2 linked regions of the Oreochromis niloticus genome follow. The protein of the gene in region 2 interacts with the protein of the main gene of each other region in a pairwise test. Links are inferred from orthologs where the notes say so. Each region holds a gene or a part of one and is shown on either strand. Other genes may lie near its edges.

The links. The genes of interacting proteins can lie anywhere in the genome.
Region 1: the proteins of mlx (region 2) and mxd1 interact in a two-hybrid assay, tested with the Homo sapiens proteins (2 studies listed by BioGRID and IntAct). The link is inferred for Oreochromis niloticus from reciprocal best matches to the Homo sapiens genes MLX and MXD1.

The regions. Positions count from the first base shown.
Region 1 is NC_031977.2:7,021,215-7,028,538, forward strand, and holds the start of mxd1 (max dimerization protein 1), read right to left. Parts: upstream 3,015-7,324; 5' UTR 2,062-3,014; coding exon 1,995-2,061; intron 1,349-1,994; coding exon 1,249-1,348; intron 1-1,248. Other genes in the region: snrnp27 (U4/U6.U5 small nuclear ribonucleoprotein 27 kDa protein), read right to left, coding at 4,166-4,220, 4,571-4,635, 6,961-7,040, 7,146-7,258. UniProt on the Homo sapiens protein: Component of a transcriptional repressor complex together with MAX. In complex with MAX binds to the core DNA sequence 5'-CAC[GA]TG-3'. Antagonizes MYC transcriptional activity by competing with MYC for MAX binding.
Region 2 is NC_031969.2:25,992,380-26,000,135, forward strand, and holds the start of mlx (max-like protein X), read left to right. Parts: upstream 1-4,741; 5' UTR 4,742-4,844; coding exon 4,845-4,883; intron 4,884-5,789; coding exon 5,790-5,826; intron 5,827-5,968; coding exon 5,969-6,058; intron 6,059-7,756. UniProt on the Homo sapiens protein: Transcription regulator. Forms a sequence-specific DNA-binding protein complex with MAD1, MAD4, MNT, WBSCR14 and MLXIP which recognizes the core sequence 5'-CACGTG-3'. The TCFL4-MAD1, TCFL4-MAD4, TCFL4-WBSCR14 complexes are transcriptional repressors.

The sequences.
Region 1 (7,324 bases), on a different chromosome or scaffold from region 2:
CTCGCTGTACACGGTGGAATTGGAGTCTGTCCAACCCTGGGAGAGATCCTCTCTGGGGAAGCATGATCTCAAGGATCACTAAAACTGCAACATAACTTGAAAGCTAGCTGGTAAACTAACATGAGGCAGTAAGGGCCACCTGGTTACCAATGACTGAACTTTAATAATAAGAACACTGTCCATTAGTAAAATGACTACAGGTAGTATTGTTCTCTCAAAAAATAAGAAAATAAATGCTGATGTTTTCACTATATTAGGTATACTAAAAACTGAACATGTAAAACACATACGTGAAAAAAAACTATTATAACATCAAAGTGGGATTTTGTGTTGATTGAAAAAACCAAAAACGCAACAGGCAGGCGGTAATGCTGAGAGTTAAAACATTAGCTGACATCAGCTGTGCTCTCACTGCAGCAGTCAGTGATAAAAAGATAATAGATTTATTCATAATCTTATGTTCTATTCTTCATTTAACATAATATCTTAAAGTGAAAAGAAATGTCCAAAATGCAGATATGGTGATCAGAAGCTAACCGTATCAATAGCTTACAGTGGAAGATCAGAGAGCTGACTTATGCTCTGTAACAAACCGAAGGCTTCTAATAAGCTCTCATCAGCGAGAAACATGATGAGACAGGAATCATGTCATATTTTTTGCAGATATATTACTTAAGAGGCATTAACATGTTATTTTGATTATAAAATTGGCCTAGTCTGTCTGTCTTTTCTTTGCAATTAGATGGGTGTTTGTAACAGTATGTCTGACCTGGTCACTATTTGATGTCAAAACAACAAGGTAGCGTCTCGCAGTCATAACCCTATTCAAAGCTTTGGATGTTTGATTGTGACCATGTTTGGCCAAGAGCACAAAGTCGCTGTTTCAACAGCGTTGCTGTGAATGTAACAAATTATGCAAATAGGGACCAGGCTGCTATCTCTGACCTCACTGCACTTCCTACCATTTTAAATTTGGGCAGTTAGCGTGTCCACCTGGAAGCACAGTACGAAAATGCATTAAAAAAAATTACAAAATTAAAAAACAAGCCTCACATCACAAGCACCAAATAAGGATTTTGACTTGAAACACAAACACCAGTGTGATGAAGAATGGCTTAATCCTTCAAGAAGTGAGGACGGGAAGAGGAGGGGAGGGGGGAGGTGGGGGGAGACCCCTGAAGTGGGGATGTGATGGGCGACTTGTCGCAGAGCAGGAAAACAATCAGGCATGTACAGTTTTGCCTTTACCTGCTACTTGTGTTTTTCTTGCTTTTGCTTTTCCTTTTCAAACTTTCCCTCTCCCGGCTGCTGATGAACGGCGGCATTGAGGCATAGCCATGTTCAGCTTCTGCAAGCAAGTAAACAACATAGTGGTCACATGTCCTGAAATCCTGCAATGCAAAATATAGCCACAGTGAACAGAAGTACAGACTGCACAACGTGCCACATTTCAGCTTTAGTTTTTGGCATCCCGCAGCAATGGCTAATGCTTTTTAGCAGGCATGCAGGGAATGGGTCTCAAGTAGTATCTTTTAGCCTTTTCCCCCTTCCTCGGGATGGACAATGATGTCATCATGAACTAGAATAAACCCCACTAGCAAACCACAACAGAAGGAAAGGAGGGGCGCCCACGAAAACAATGTCTCCCTGCACATCTGCCACATATGCATTCATTCTTTCAATATCGCCAATGCAAATGCCCGTTTGTCTTTACACGTATGCATTATGCGCCTGTAATCACATATTTATTAGCACCTGTTTGGGGCAGGTGATGCACCCTGCTGAATCGATGCGTGAAATTCGACATTTATGAATTTATTTCATGGCCTGATTGTTTGATGTAATAAGAGTATTAATAGGAAGCAACAGGATTTGGGAAAGCATCAAACGACGTGTGCATAAATCCGAGTGATTCGGAGGGGGAGGGGTGTTAATGTTATATTGCACAGGGTGAATAAGAAAAGAGAGTAGAAAAGAATACAATGATACTTTACCTCGTTCCCTGCGATCAAGGTACTCGGCTGCTTCGATCAACATCTGCACCATTCCGATCGCCGCCATTTTAAACAATAACACTGATAATTTAACAATCCGAAAAGGAATTCCGTGGCTGTACACAGACTGCTTCAGGCTCCTGCTTCTTTTTCACACTTAGGGAGCTCGCTGTTCTGTCAGTTATTATTTTTAAAGAGCCAGAGAGAGCGTTACAGAGTTGCTCCTTCACTGTCAATCTGGATATTTAAAAGTTAAAGGCCTTGAATGCAGCACCAGTCAGTTCGAAAAGCCAAACTTCCTCCGTGGTTGTTAAATTAAGGATATGGTGTTAGCTGGCTAGTGAGGGCTGACACTAATAACACTTCTTCAGGAGCTAAGGTTACTTTGTTCCCCTTTAAGTCAAAATGTCAGCTAAATATCGTCAGCTTTATAGGTGGCTCTTCGAGAAAAGACGGCTTGTTGATACAAACAAAACGAAAGGCTGTGTAACATACAAAAATAATCCGCGAATTGCTCTATTTGGCGAAAAAAAAAAAGGCTGGCTAACGTTAGCGCCAATGTCAAGCTGTCAAATTAAATATGGAAAGTTCTTGCTATCTGTGTTGTATTTGGAAAAGCTTCGGCCAGTGAAAAAAGAACGTTAGCATCTACAGTTGCTAGACACTTGCCTTGTGAAATTTATTTATATAAAAAAAGAGCTATCTGATATAAAGTTCAGCCGACGATGTCATCCAACCTTTTCGGTTTAGAGCTGTGGCTGGTTAGTTTTGCGCCGGTTTAACGCGCGATACGTCTTGCTGGAAACGCCGATAGCGACTGACATCAACTGAAGAACAGTGACTGTTTGTCAAACAGCTTCCAAAATAGTGGCTTGTTGATCTGGACACCAGCTCTCTACTGTATTGTACAAAGATTCTGGGTGCTGCAGTGTGATTGGATACTGAGTATAACCTCTCAAGCTCCTATTCGGCGTTAAAACCGTCAATTGCAGAAGAGGGTTCAGCGCTTACTTCAACTGTGGACCTTAAGCAGCCATTTTGGTTCTAATTAACATTGGCTGAAATACACCATGTACAGCCACAATGGAGACAGTTTCTGCGCTATACACTTGTACACAGTAATTGGTTGTTTTTTTCTATAAACTTGACAGCTATTGGCCCTAGTGCGCACGAGCTTATCTGACAACGCCCGCTTTTGACAATCAACACGCCTCTCTGCCATGCTGTTTCTCGGTGTATGGCAGCGATTGGCTCCCGTTGTGTCATTTAATAAATTTTGCGATACATGATTGGTCGAATTCACATGACCTCTTATCATTGGTCTCCTTCTTCTCCGTCACAAAATATCTGCGCGCATGCGTCCGCTTGTTGCTTTCTGATCCATAATGGCTTTAAAAGGCTCGGCGCTAGATTGGATCTGCCGGAGGGATGCTCGCTTATGATTGGTGGTTGGGTTAAGGACAAGTACGGGGATTGGTTATTTTGGTGGGTCGGTTCTGTCAGACAGCAAAGCTGATCCAATCTAGTATGAAACATTTAAAAGCTTGCTTCAAAATGAGAGGGATCATTATTTTAGAGCACGATAAACCCTGGACTTGAACATATACCACCCCAGGAAAGGTTTCTTAGCAGCCTTTAGTTAGGTCTGAATTTAAACCTGGATTTGAAACAATCCTATAGGATACATTTCTCAGAGAACACCAAATGAGATTATGCTATATTTAAACTAGAAAGAAACGCAAGCATTCACAGGAATAACCAATCTGATCCTATTCAATCCTTAAAAGGGACAATGAATAATGTCATATTTAGCCATTATTTCAAAAGAAAGAGTGTTCCTGCACAACCTGGTGGATGGATATTTAATTAGTGCATAGGCATTTTAATAAATGCATTTTCATAATCAGGACAGAAAGCATGTTTTTTAAATGCTTTTATTTCAAATAAATCATCCATGTCAACAATATTAAGCTCAGTCTCACCCAGTTGTGAGTACATCTTGCAGGTACTACTATTTACATGTATGCATTCGTTTATAAAAAGGTATATACACGACTGTTAAATCACACAAACCACATAGGATACTGAACATGCCATCTATTCATAAGGGTAGAGGGAAGGGAGGGTACACACAGGTAAACTTCTTGGGGAACATTGGAGTTGAGATACTTTCAAGCAATGAAGTCCAGCGGCCTGTTAAATCCACCTTTTCTGTTCATGTACTGCCTGTAAAATAAATATATAAGAAAACATTATATCACTGTTTCCCTCCCAACACACACAGATTACATCATCGAGCACCAATGGGAGCGCTGGCATCTCTGCATAGAAACACCTGCGGAGGTGATTGGCTACTTTAACAGTGATAGATGCTGAGAGTGCACACTGTGAAGAGGGGGCAGAAAAATTGACGTAATTCAGCAACATGAGTAACAGCTGGGGCTCCAAAAGTAACTTTAAAAAGGATCCGTCACTAACAAAAGGAAAGCTTATGAAATATCCAAAGAGATGTGCTGCACTGTACCGACGGCACAGCTGATCAACTACAAACGCTTGTTTTGTGTTCGATGACCTACCTGTATTTTCTCTTCATGGTCACATTGACGGCATACGCGTTACTTGAGCCATCGGTCTTCTTCCCCTGTGTAAAAATAATGTTACTGCATGACATATTACAAAGCAAACTTAAAAAAAAATACAAAAAAAAACATTCTTAGCTAAACATGACAGTGAACAGGTGAAGCTGAATTGGGTCAAGCTCATGATAGCAGTTGGAATTCTCTAAATATGCATTTCACAGAACTGAAGGATTTTGATCAACGGAAAACTGTTTTGTTTTGTTAATAGGACAAACCCAGTGGCCTGTCAGAGGAACCTCTTTATCAACAATAACACTGCTAGTGTTCAATGGGACTGATTTTTGAAGTGACCCTTTTCAACCCACTGTTTGCTCTTTGTGATTAGATTAAGTTTACCAACTCTTATTGGATAAACAGTGTGCACAACCATAACTATTAGTTTATAATTGCAACTATTCGTCCACTTCTTGTAACTGCTATTCTTTGTTTAGTGATTACTTTAAGTCTATCCATTTATTTTCCCCACTTTTGATCATTTTCATAATAGACAGGTTTCATAGCATTTAGAATGTTAATCTATTCTTATAGCTAACAATTTCAACAGCTAGCCATAATTTAAGATTATAATCTCAACTTTTCATTCAGAATCTTAGACAGCTACAGTGCTGTGACTTACTGAATTGTGTAAACATAGATGAAAATGCAGTATAATTCTAACAAGCTGAGAGTCAATATTTGGTATGACTTTTTTTTGTCTTTAAGTAGTGTTCTGGAATAGTTCGCCAGGCTCCTTGAGGGAGATTCGAAGCTCTTTTAATGTGCCTGTTATTCTATTTTCTGTCAAGATGATCCCACGTTGCTTCAATAATGTTGAAGCTCGGCTAACCAGGTGTGCTTTTACTGCTTTGGCAGTGTGACTGGGTCATGCTGAACAATAAAACCCTTGCCAGTCAGATGCTTTCCAGATGTTATTGCATGGTTGATTAAAATGATGGTACTTTTCTGTGTTCATACTGAACAGCACTGCTTGAAGTGCAGCCCCAAACCATGACAGAGTCTTCACCGTCTGTTTTAGACTGCTGCAGACACTCAGTGTTGTACCTCTGTCTTGACCTCCTGCATACATATTAAGAAAATCTGAACCAAAAAACTCACATTTTGATTTATCATGTCTAAGACTTGTTACCACCGATTTTCAGTTCAGTTCTTGTGTAATTTGGAACACTTCAGCCTTTTCTCCCTTTTATTCTTCCTTAAGAGTAGCTTCACCTTTCCACTGACACTATTTTTGATGAGGCTTCAGTGAACAGTAGATGACCACCTGAAGGGCCAGATGCTTCCCTGTGCCAGGTCTTTGCTGGATTTGTTCCTACTTCAAAAGGATATAACTTTTACATACTGTGACAGGCTATTAGCAACAAAAGTCTCTAAAGATAGGATTTTAAACTGTTTCTTTGCCAAACTGTCTGTTATGTGTGGACCCAACACTGCTCGTTATGGAAGCAAAATAAATGAGAGTGGCTCAAAACTCTTGCACAGTATTGCAAACTTACATTAGCCATGGAGGGCTTGCTGTCATGTGAAAGCTGCTCTACATTCATGTACAAACATGTCAGTATATGTCAATTATGTCAATATTTAACCGTTTTAAGCCCACCATAGAACCAAGTCTGCCTGAGCTTATCTTTACATTTTTACATGCTGTAGTGCCATTTTTTGGAGCATTTCCACTTGTTATACATCAATAAGATCCTTTTATCCTAAATTTAAATCATACATATGCAATATGTCCATAGTAACTACATAAATACCAAAAATGTGCAATAAACTAAAAAAAGAAATTGAAAATTGTTTTTTAAACTTTTTTCTATTTACAGAAACTTCAGAGGTATATCCCTCAAAACTGTAAATGCAAAGTTCCACAAAATAGTTCCCAGCCACAGGAAATTTATTTTGAGTGTCTTTATAATTTCATTTTTGAAATACACTCATTTTTACAACCTGCAGCAAAAACGAAAATATAATAGGGATTTAAAAATAGTTACGCAAATTGGAGCGTGCACGCTCCCGTGCGGTTTAAAAGGGTTAACAGATAAGCGGGGGTGAAAAAAAAGAACCATAACTCAAAAACAACAGTATTCCCCTAAATAGAAAGAGTCAAGGGAAAAACGTGAAAAATGTCCCCTTTATTTAAACAAGAGCAACCTGCTTTATACAGCAGCTGCTCTAATAGATTTCATCAGTGCCAATGTGCTTTTGGAAGTTCCATTTCAATCCACTGAAATAAATGCAAACATAATGTGTGTGTGTGTGTGTGTGTGTTGTGAACTTTATTAGAAATAAACTGCACCCCCTTGTGGCTGCATAACACATAGAACAACTCTCACCTTGCTGGTATCAAAGGAACCAAATCCCATAAGCTTCATCATCTCAATCTCCTCCTCCGTTTTGCCCTGCATGTCCTCCGCTATTTAAAAAACAAAAAACATTGAATTTAGTCTCTGCTACTACAAACTGTCTGAAAAACTAAGATTCCTGCTTAATGTGCGAGTGTATAGATAATGTCTGATACCTGAGATCTGAATGGGCTTTGCCGTCTTTTCCTTTGAGTCTTTGCGCTCATCATCTCGTCTCTCCTTTTGTCTCGAAGGAGAGAGGGAGGAGGATCGATGACGTCGGGGAGACCTGCAAAAGGAGCACAGTGATGGCTGCAGGATGGGTTATCACACCTAATCAGAGTGAAAGAAGCAA
Region 2 (7,756 bases):
CATAAACTGCTCATAATATTTCTGTTATTTTCTGAATATCATAAAGACCTTTATACAGACCAAGTATCCTCCACCTCCATGATTCCAGTGTAGGTTGAATTTCGAGTTGGCATATTACTGTCCAAAAGGGACAGTTTCACACTGAGTTATCAAACCTACAGAGACATGTCATGTGTAAACGTTATTTCCCCATTCACAGAAACTGAATGAGCGGAGGTTGTTATTTTTAAAAAAAAGGTCAAATTAAAAGGAATAAGATACGTCAAGGCATCGGCGTAACTTTCTGCTGAACATTGGGGTGGGGGTCAAGATCTCTGTCTAAATAAATAAATCTGGGTAAATTCCCAGATGATTAAACATGCAACTATTTTGCTGGTAATAACTGAAATGAGTAAAGAAAATTAACAGCCTATTTATGCAAGATAATTCATAATTTTATTGGGGGGGTTATATTGGTTGAGTCTGATTATTGGGGGGGTCATAACCCCCTAACCCCCCTGGAAATTACGCCCCTGCGTCAAGGAAAAAGGCTTCACTCACAAAATTAACTTGTTTTCTTTGATCACTAATTCCCTGTAATTATTTATGTTTTGCTTAAAGATATTTTTTTCACAGTCCTCTCTCACATTACTGCAGCTGGTACTGCACTGGTACTATTTTTTTAGCTGATCAAAAGCTTAAATCAATGTGACCATTTACAGTAAGTTTAAATAATTTCAGTTGATGTTGGGTGTGGCTTTTTAATCTAGTTTTGTGTACATTCAAGCAGCGGTTTGACATCTTCTGTGCACTTTTTTCTTTAAAAAGGGAGGAGTGAAAACGGAAATGATCTGATGTGTTGGTGCTCGAAATGAGGCTCCTTCCTTGGCTGATGTAAGGGAGAGGTCTTACTGTGGTTTTGTGGTACTTAAAAAAAAGGTAATGTGAGTGCCTTGCATTATGAAGTTTATAGCTTCTGATTTAGTTACTCAAAAATAAAAAGTACTCACATTTTTCAGTAATGCAAAAAAAAAAGAAGGTTCACTTCTCGTTTCCTTGTTGGTGACGTCAACAATATAATCTCTAGACTGAGGTTTGACAAGTGACAAGTATTTTACTGAAGAAGGAAGACACTTGAGAGGGTGTTGTCATTTTCCGGAGAGCACATTTTGTGTAGATATTAATGAACTGTTAACCCTGGCTCTAAACTTCATTATCTTGCATGAAATTATAATGTTTCCATTCAAGGTTTGTCATATGAAGCAGATATGGCGTGAATTTTGACTTGTTTTTAGAATAATCATGGTATGCTGTTCCAATCAATGTCATTTTTGAGAAAAGACAAATAGTTTTAGTTGGAATAGTTGCATGGATTTATATTTGCTGTGTAAAGTGTTTGTTTTTTACTACGTAAAAAATAACTTTCTAATTGCACCCCACCTTCTACAAAAACACAAAATCATTATTTTTTTTTACATACACTACATTTTTATGTATGCTAAATATTTGCTTGAAAGGTTAAAACCCATTTACAACTGCTCTGAATAACACTGATCCTGCTTTTGTAATTTAATGTTTTGTTGGGAAAGCCTATGTTAAAGTACCATCCTAAACTTTGTGACATAATATTATTATTAATAGCAGGCAGGTGCTTTCCTCTGTGGTATAAGCCAGACTCATAGAAGCCACACCCTACAACTCATGGGTCTCAAAGGATTTGATACCAACATCCAGATGTTCAGCGGCAGGACAGCCTCAGGGGTTGACAGGTCAAAGAATCTTCGGTGGCTTTAACTAGATGTGCCCACTTCCAGACTAGTGGTTTTAATGAGTGTGGTTAAAATGTATATCTGGACACTTAATGCTGTAAATCATCTACCACATAAACCACAATGCCAGACATTATAGAAAATTAAAAATGAGAACATTGTAGAACAAACTGAACTATTTAGATGTAAAAATCTGGAGAACTTGAGCCTTGAAAAAGTAAAACTCTTAACTCATTGATGTTACTGGCTAAGCTATGTCAGATTAACATGACTGTTAGTGTCTTTGTTTCACTTTTGTAGATCTGTATTTTTTTCTTAGCATTGCTAAAGAAAAAACAAAACACAAATCTCATAGTTAACTCTATTTTTTCATTAAAAAAGTCAAAGAATAAGCCAGGATTAAGATAGTCTAAGCATCATGATTTGATATTTTGCGCAACATATAATCTAAAAGATCGTAATACTTGAAGTTTTATCTTTACTAACTTGTTGTGAGACTGTTGAAAGAATGGTGAAACATTTCCTTTCCGGTCCTGTGGCCTCCGGCATGTAAATGCATTGCTCAACTTCCCATTTCAGCCTGCTGTTGTGCATGCATTTATCAAGCAGTTTCTGGTTTGAATTTTTCTAACCAAACCATGAAGAATTTGGCAACTTGTTGACAGGATTGTCATTGTTTTTATCACTAAAGTGAAAATTTAAGTAACTGATGATATTTGTGCAAATTTGACTGGACAAAATGACAGACCATTAGACTCTGACTGAGGGTGTAACGATCTTTCTAACGTTCAGCTCTTTCTTCTCACTTGACAAATAGCTTTAGATACACCTAGAGAGTGTAAGAAATGAAGTAAAGTACATATTGGAGTCTATATTAGAGCAAAGTAAATTTCCAAAGAGTGAAAGATCAGTCACTTTCAAACTTGGGTTATTACCTTAACAATGTAACAATGTAAAATGAAAGCTGATTTGATATGTGTTTTTGTGATCCTCTTAATCATACTTACTTGCACAATCGCCCTTACATCTACAAACCAAAACTTTGTGCAAAATCTGCATGATTTCATATGGAGTAAGGGTGCACGGCGTGTCATGCTCTCACTCACCAGAACCATGTTGAAGCGCTCCTCCAGCTCCTTCTCTGGTGGCATGGGAAGTTTGGGTTGAGGAGGCTGCTTTTTTTGCAAGGTTGGTGCAGAGTCATTCATTGCTGAAGCTGCACTGACTGAGTTTCTGGCCTCTCGGCCTTCGGCCGGTTCATGCTCCAATCCCCCACCAGCCGCATTCCCCATCACTAATCTCCACAAGTAATCCAGGGGGACTGCTTTACGCAAACTGTTTCCTCCAGGAAATCAGCGTATCCAAAAGCAAAGTGACAAAAGATGGTCACTCTGAATTACAACAGCAAAAAGGCCCTAATCAAATCAAGTCTAGGGCCTCTAGGGCAATCTACATTAATTCTCAGGTTTACAAAATCCGCCTCACACCCGAGGACAGGGTGGGCAATGAAAAAAGAAAGTTTGTCCTCATGGCCCCCTTCTCCTTAAGTTGTCTTCAAGTTCCTTTTGAAAATGAGGTGATAAGTCCTGTTAGAGCCTGTTAGAACTCGAAAAAAAGGTCCGCCTATGCCTCATGCACTGTTGTCTACATTAGTTGACCGAGAACTCTCTGAAATAGTTCAGTACCGAAGCCTGCGTGTGAGAGGAAGGCAGATGAGGAGTGTGACACAGTCAGAAACCACAGAAGCACAAAAGCAGAAGAGTAACTTCCTGTGCATGACAGCTATAGAACCTGGGGCGGAGGACATGGTGGAAGATAAACATGGTAACCGTTACACGTAACCATGCAGTAGGTGGATGATGATAAAGAAAAGATACTACAGGAATGAAGGAGAGCAGACTCCAGATTTGATGTAAGATTAACAGATGTCGATGTAGATGTAAATCAACTACACAATTAAAGGGAACTTTGCAACATTTCACAAAGAAACCACCTTTTTGTACTAGATTTAGTCATTTTACTGATGTCAGCTTGCCATGAGTCAACGGTTACATTTGTTTTGGTGTTTTCCCTTCATGTGGTGGTTTAATCCAGACAGGTAAAGGTGGTTTCAGCATGACAAGAATTGTCAAACAACACCCCTATGTGGATAAAGATGACTACTGCATCTAGTGAGATCTATCCAGTGGGAATGTTAAGATAGTTATGTTTCTGAAAACTAACTTGTTACCATTCGTTGGCTCAGTAATTTACGAAGCCTGTGTGTATACAAATGATTTCTATTGAGGAAAAGAATAATAAGTTTATCACAGATGCATTTCTTTGAGAAAGTGAAAATTATTAGCTCCGATGCAACAGGATATTCATTTTCAAAGCTTTCTGAGACTCACTGGAAGGCAACAGTGTTATCAGCTGAGTAAAATGAAAAGATCAAGATAAAGATTCCTTTACTGCTGCCAAAAGAGAAGATTGGAGATGTGTTTAGACATCAGGAAAATGCTGGGAAAAAATCATCAAAACGATAAAGCTAATCATTTCCTTACAGGTGTAACAGTGGAGACGCAAGTAGCAGAGGTATTGAAGTAAAGTGAGTTTAAATACTTGGAGTTTTTCTTGTAAAGCAACAGTAGGTACACAAGATAGCTGAAGAAGAGAATGCATGCAGGATGGAGAGGATTGAGACGAGTGTCAAGGGTAATTTGTTACAGGAAGATAGCCGCAAGAATGAGATGATGTATGGTTAGGAAATGCTATCACTAAAAAAAGAGATACGCAGACCTGGAGGTGGCAGAGTTGAAGATTTTCACTGGCCATGATGAGCAAGATTCAAGAGCAGCTGAAAGAAAGCAGATTTATTTAAGTGTTTAAGAGACAAAGAACTGATAAAAAAAATAATTTTAGTTTTTCTCTCATACTATGTACGCCTTCTGTTTATTTTTTCTTTTCTTTTTAATACAGTCTTTCTGTGACATAAAACCTACATTTTATGCGGTCAGTTACTGCAGTAATCCTTCCAAACCATGGGGTGGCGTTTATCATGAACAGATACAATTTACTACCGTGGTGCACAGAAGAAGAAATCCGTCGCATTCCAAAATGACGGACCCGACAACATCTCCAGAGGACCAGTGGAAAGTGAGTAACTGCTATCAGAAACCTCTATTTCGGGTTCAGATGACTCATGTGTATGGCAGCACTGGCAAATGACAAAAGCTGTGTTGTCTTAAAGTTGAAGCTTTAGTAAAGTGCAGGGGGTACACGGTTTGTTAGCTTCGTGGCTAACTAACGTTAGCTTCCGAGGTTTTGATAATGTTAGAAAGCTGTATTGGTTAGCTAGCCAATTGCCTACTTATGTAAACAAAGCAGCCATTGTTCCCCCTATGGTGTATACAGTAAGTCTTCATCTACACACGCAAAAAGGTAAAAAAGAAAAAAGGTCAGAGTAGCTGCTTGTTTCTTGCAAATCTATAAGTGCAGCATCAGTGTTTGTGAAGCTCACATTACCTTGTCTGTTTTACACTATATATAATTAATTAGCACACCACAGAAATTGAAATGGTCTTCGTTCCACAGACTCCTTAATAAAGACGTTTAGCCAAATAAAACAAAGAAAATAATTAATAATAATTAACATATGTTCAGGGCCCCCATTAAAAAAAAAAATGTCTCTAAAATAAATAGGGAATAGTAATTTTACAGTACGTAAGTAAACGTGTAGTAGGATCTGTTGTTCAAACTTAACATATATTCATTTTTTCCCCTCCTGAGCTTTTGAGACTTTGGAAACCACAAATTAGACAGCTGTGCCCTACATCAAACAATAGCTCTGTGATGAAGGCTCTTATTTTCTGCAGCTTTTTACCCACCTGTTTTCCTGAACTGGACAAATCAGGGCAATGCTCAGTGGGGGCTTAACTGGCTGGCTATTGGTCTTTTGTCAAACAAATGTAGGGCAGCACAGCGTTTTCCCTTGTTATTAGCTTTACAGCCTCTTATTTTTTGCCTTTTTCTATCTTCTGCTCTCTCGTGATGGCTCGGCAGACCGATGGTGCTTTCAGTGATGGTGGCTTTGACAACAGTGAGTATTCAGTCAGTTCTTGTGTTGTACTTCATCACCAGTGTAATCTGATCTCCCACATGATACCGATTATAGATGTATATCAAAATATATTTTGATTTTGTTGTGGATTATGTTTGATCACTGCTGTCTTGCTGTCTAGGTTATATTTCTGAAGCAATCAGAAAGGGCACTATTGTGTCCCGGGCCAACAGTATCGGCTCAACAAGTGCCTCTTCGGTGCCAAATACAGGTACTGGGTTTGAATGTTGTATATTTATGTGATAGTTAGCTACTAGTAATGTAATTGTAGTGTAGGTTAATTGTTTACTTGTTTGGTTGTTGTAGCCTGAGCCAGTCAGATATTTTTAAGAAAAAAGTTTTTGTTTATTTAGTGTAAAAGCGAAATACAGGAAATAGAGACAGCTTTGCTTATATTTCTCCATGATTTGTATAAAAGGAAAAATCTCTCTTGCTTGTGATTAATAAAAAATATATATTAACCTTAGCTCAAGGCTCGCAAAATTTCAAAATCTCTGGTGGCCCTTCGGGCAGGCCCTCTTCAGTTTTTGGTAGCCCAAAATAAATTTAAGTAGCCCGAATAAAAAAGAGAGCAATTTTTTAATGTTTTGTTTCCTTTACAATACTATACATTAAAGTATAATATTGTAACGGAAACAAAAATTAATCAGAAAGTTGTTAAAATACAAATCACAACAACTGTATAAAAATCACAGTCATCAACTCAAATACTTGGTTCTAATTGAACAGAAATTTCTATGAACTTGTAAGAACTGTGTAGAACATGAATCAGTCTGTGTCAGATCCTGAATCTGAAATTTCCACTGAAGTCACGGGTAAGGGGTGAGTGGAACCAAGATCTAGGCCATTTGCTTTTTGAAGTTTGCAAAGACTGCTAAATTTTGACAATGGTAGTTCACTCTTTGCAACATAGTACGCTTTTGAAAGATTTTTCAGGACTTCTGCTTGTGCTTGGTTTATTTTTAGTATGTTTTTTGCAATTGCTGTTTGTTCTGGGAAAGATATTGCAGACTGAGCAATAATGCATTCTCATGGGTTCTGATGGGGTCTTTCTTAAAATTACTGGTCCCAGTTATAAAGGCGCTTGTCGACTCAAATGAAATGAAACTCACAACACACCTGGCAGAACATCATGTTATTTAGCTCGTCATATTCCAGCCACAGAAATTATTTTGTCCATGAAACCAAAAAAGCTGAGCTTTCTTTTTGCCTCCTAGTCTGATTTGTCATAACGTTTCCGTTTTGTGGTAGGCTTTTATTTGGCTGCCCCTTCTTCACCCTGACCTGTCTTATTTGGCTCAGCAGAACTAAAATACCGGCGTAAGTCCTGCTGCTTTTACACACGTACTTGCATAACGGTCAGCGATTCTCTGCGCAATCAACCTCTCACATGTTTAAACTTGCTGTGGGAGATTTCACTTGTCACGTTTGAATAGTAAGCTAATGAGTGATAAGACGATGTCAGAGGAATTGGTGCGCAATCGTCACTCACCAATCAGTGCTGCCGCTCTCTATACACCGTTCGCGCGATCGCAAAGTGAAAGTGAAAGCAAAAAACAAGCACAAATTCAAACGCGATTTCAATATGTCACATATTGGCAGTGGCTCATCGATGCCGATGACATAATTACTCAGCTACATTTTCGAAAGAATGCAAAAGCATTGACACATATTTTCCCTTCCTATGATAGCCCGACGGGCAGGGCTGAGATAGATTTTGGTAGCCCGACTGGAAAAATCGCTAGCCCCGGGACGTCGAGCTAGCGATTTTGCGAGCCCTGCAGCTCTATAGCTTTTATTTTTATTTATTCCAGAAGTTAGAAAATTCATGTGTTACAGTAACAAAACATTAAACATGGCCCTTAAATATGTCTTAAAAAAAAATACAGTTTGAATAAATATAAATAAA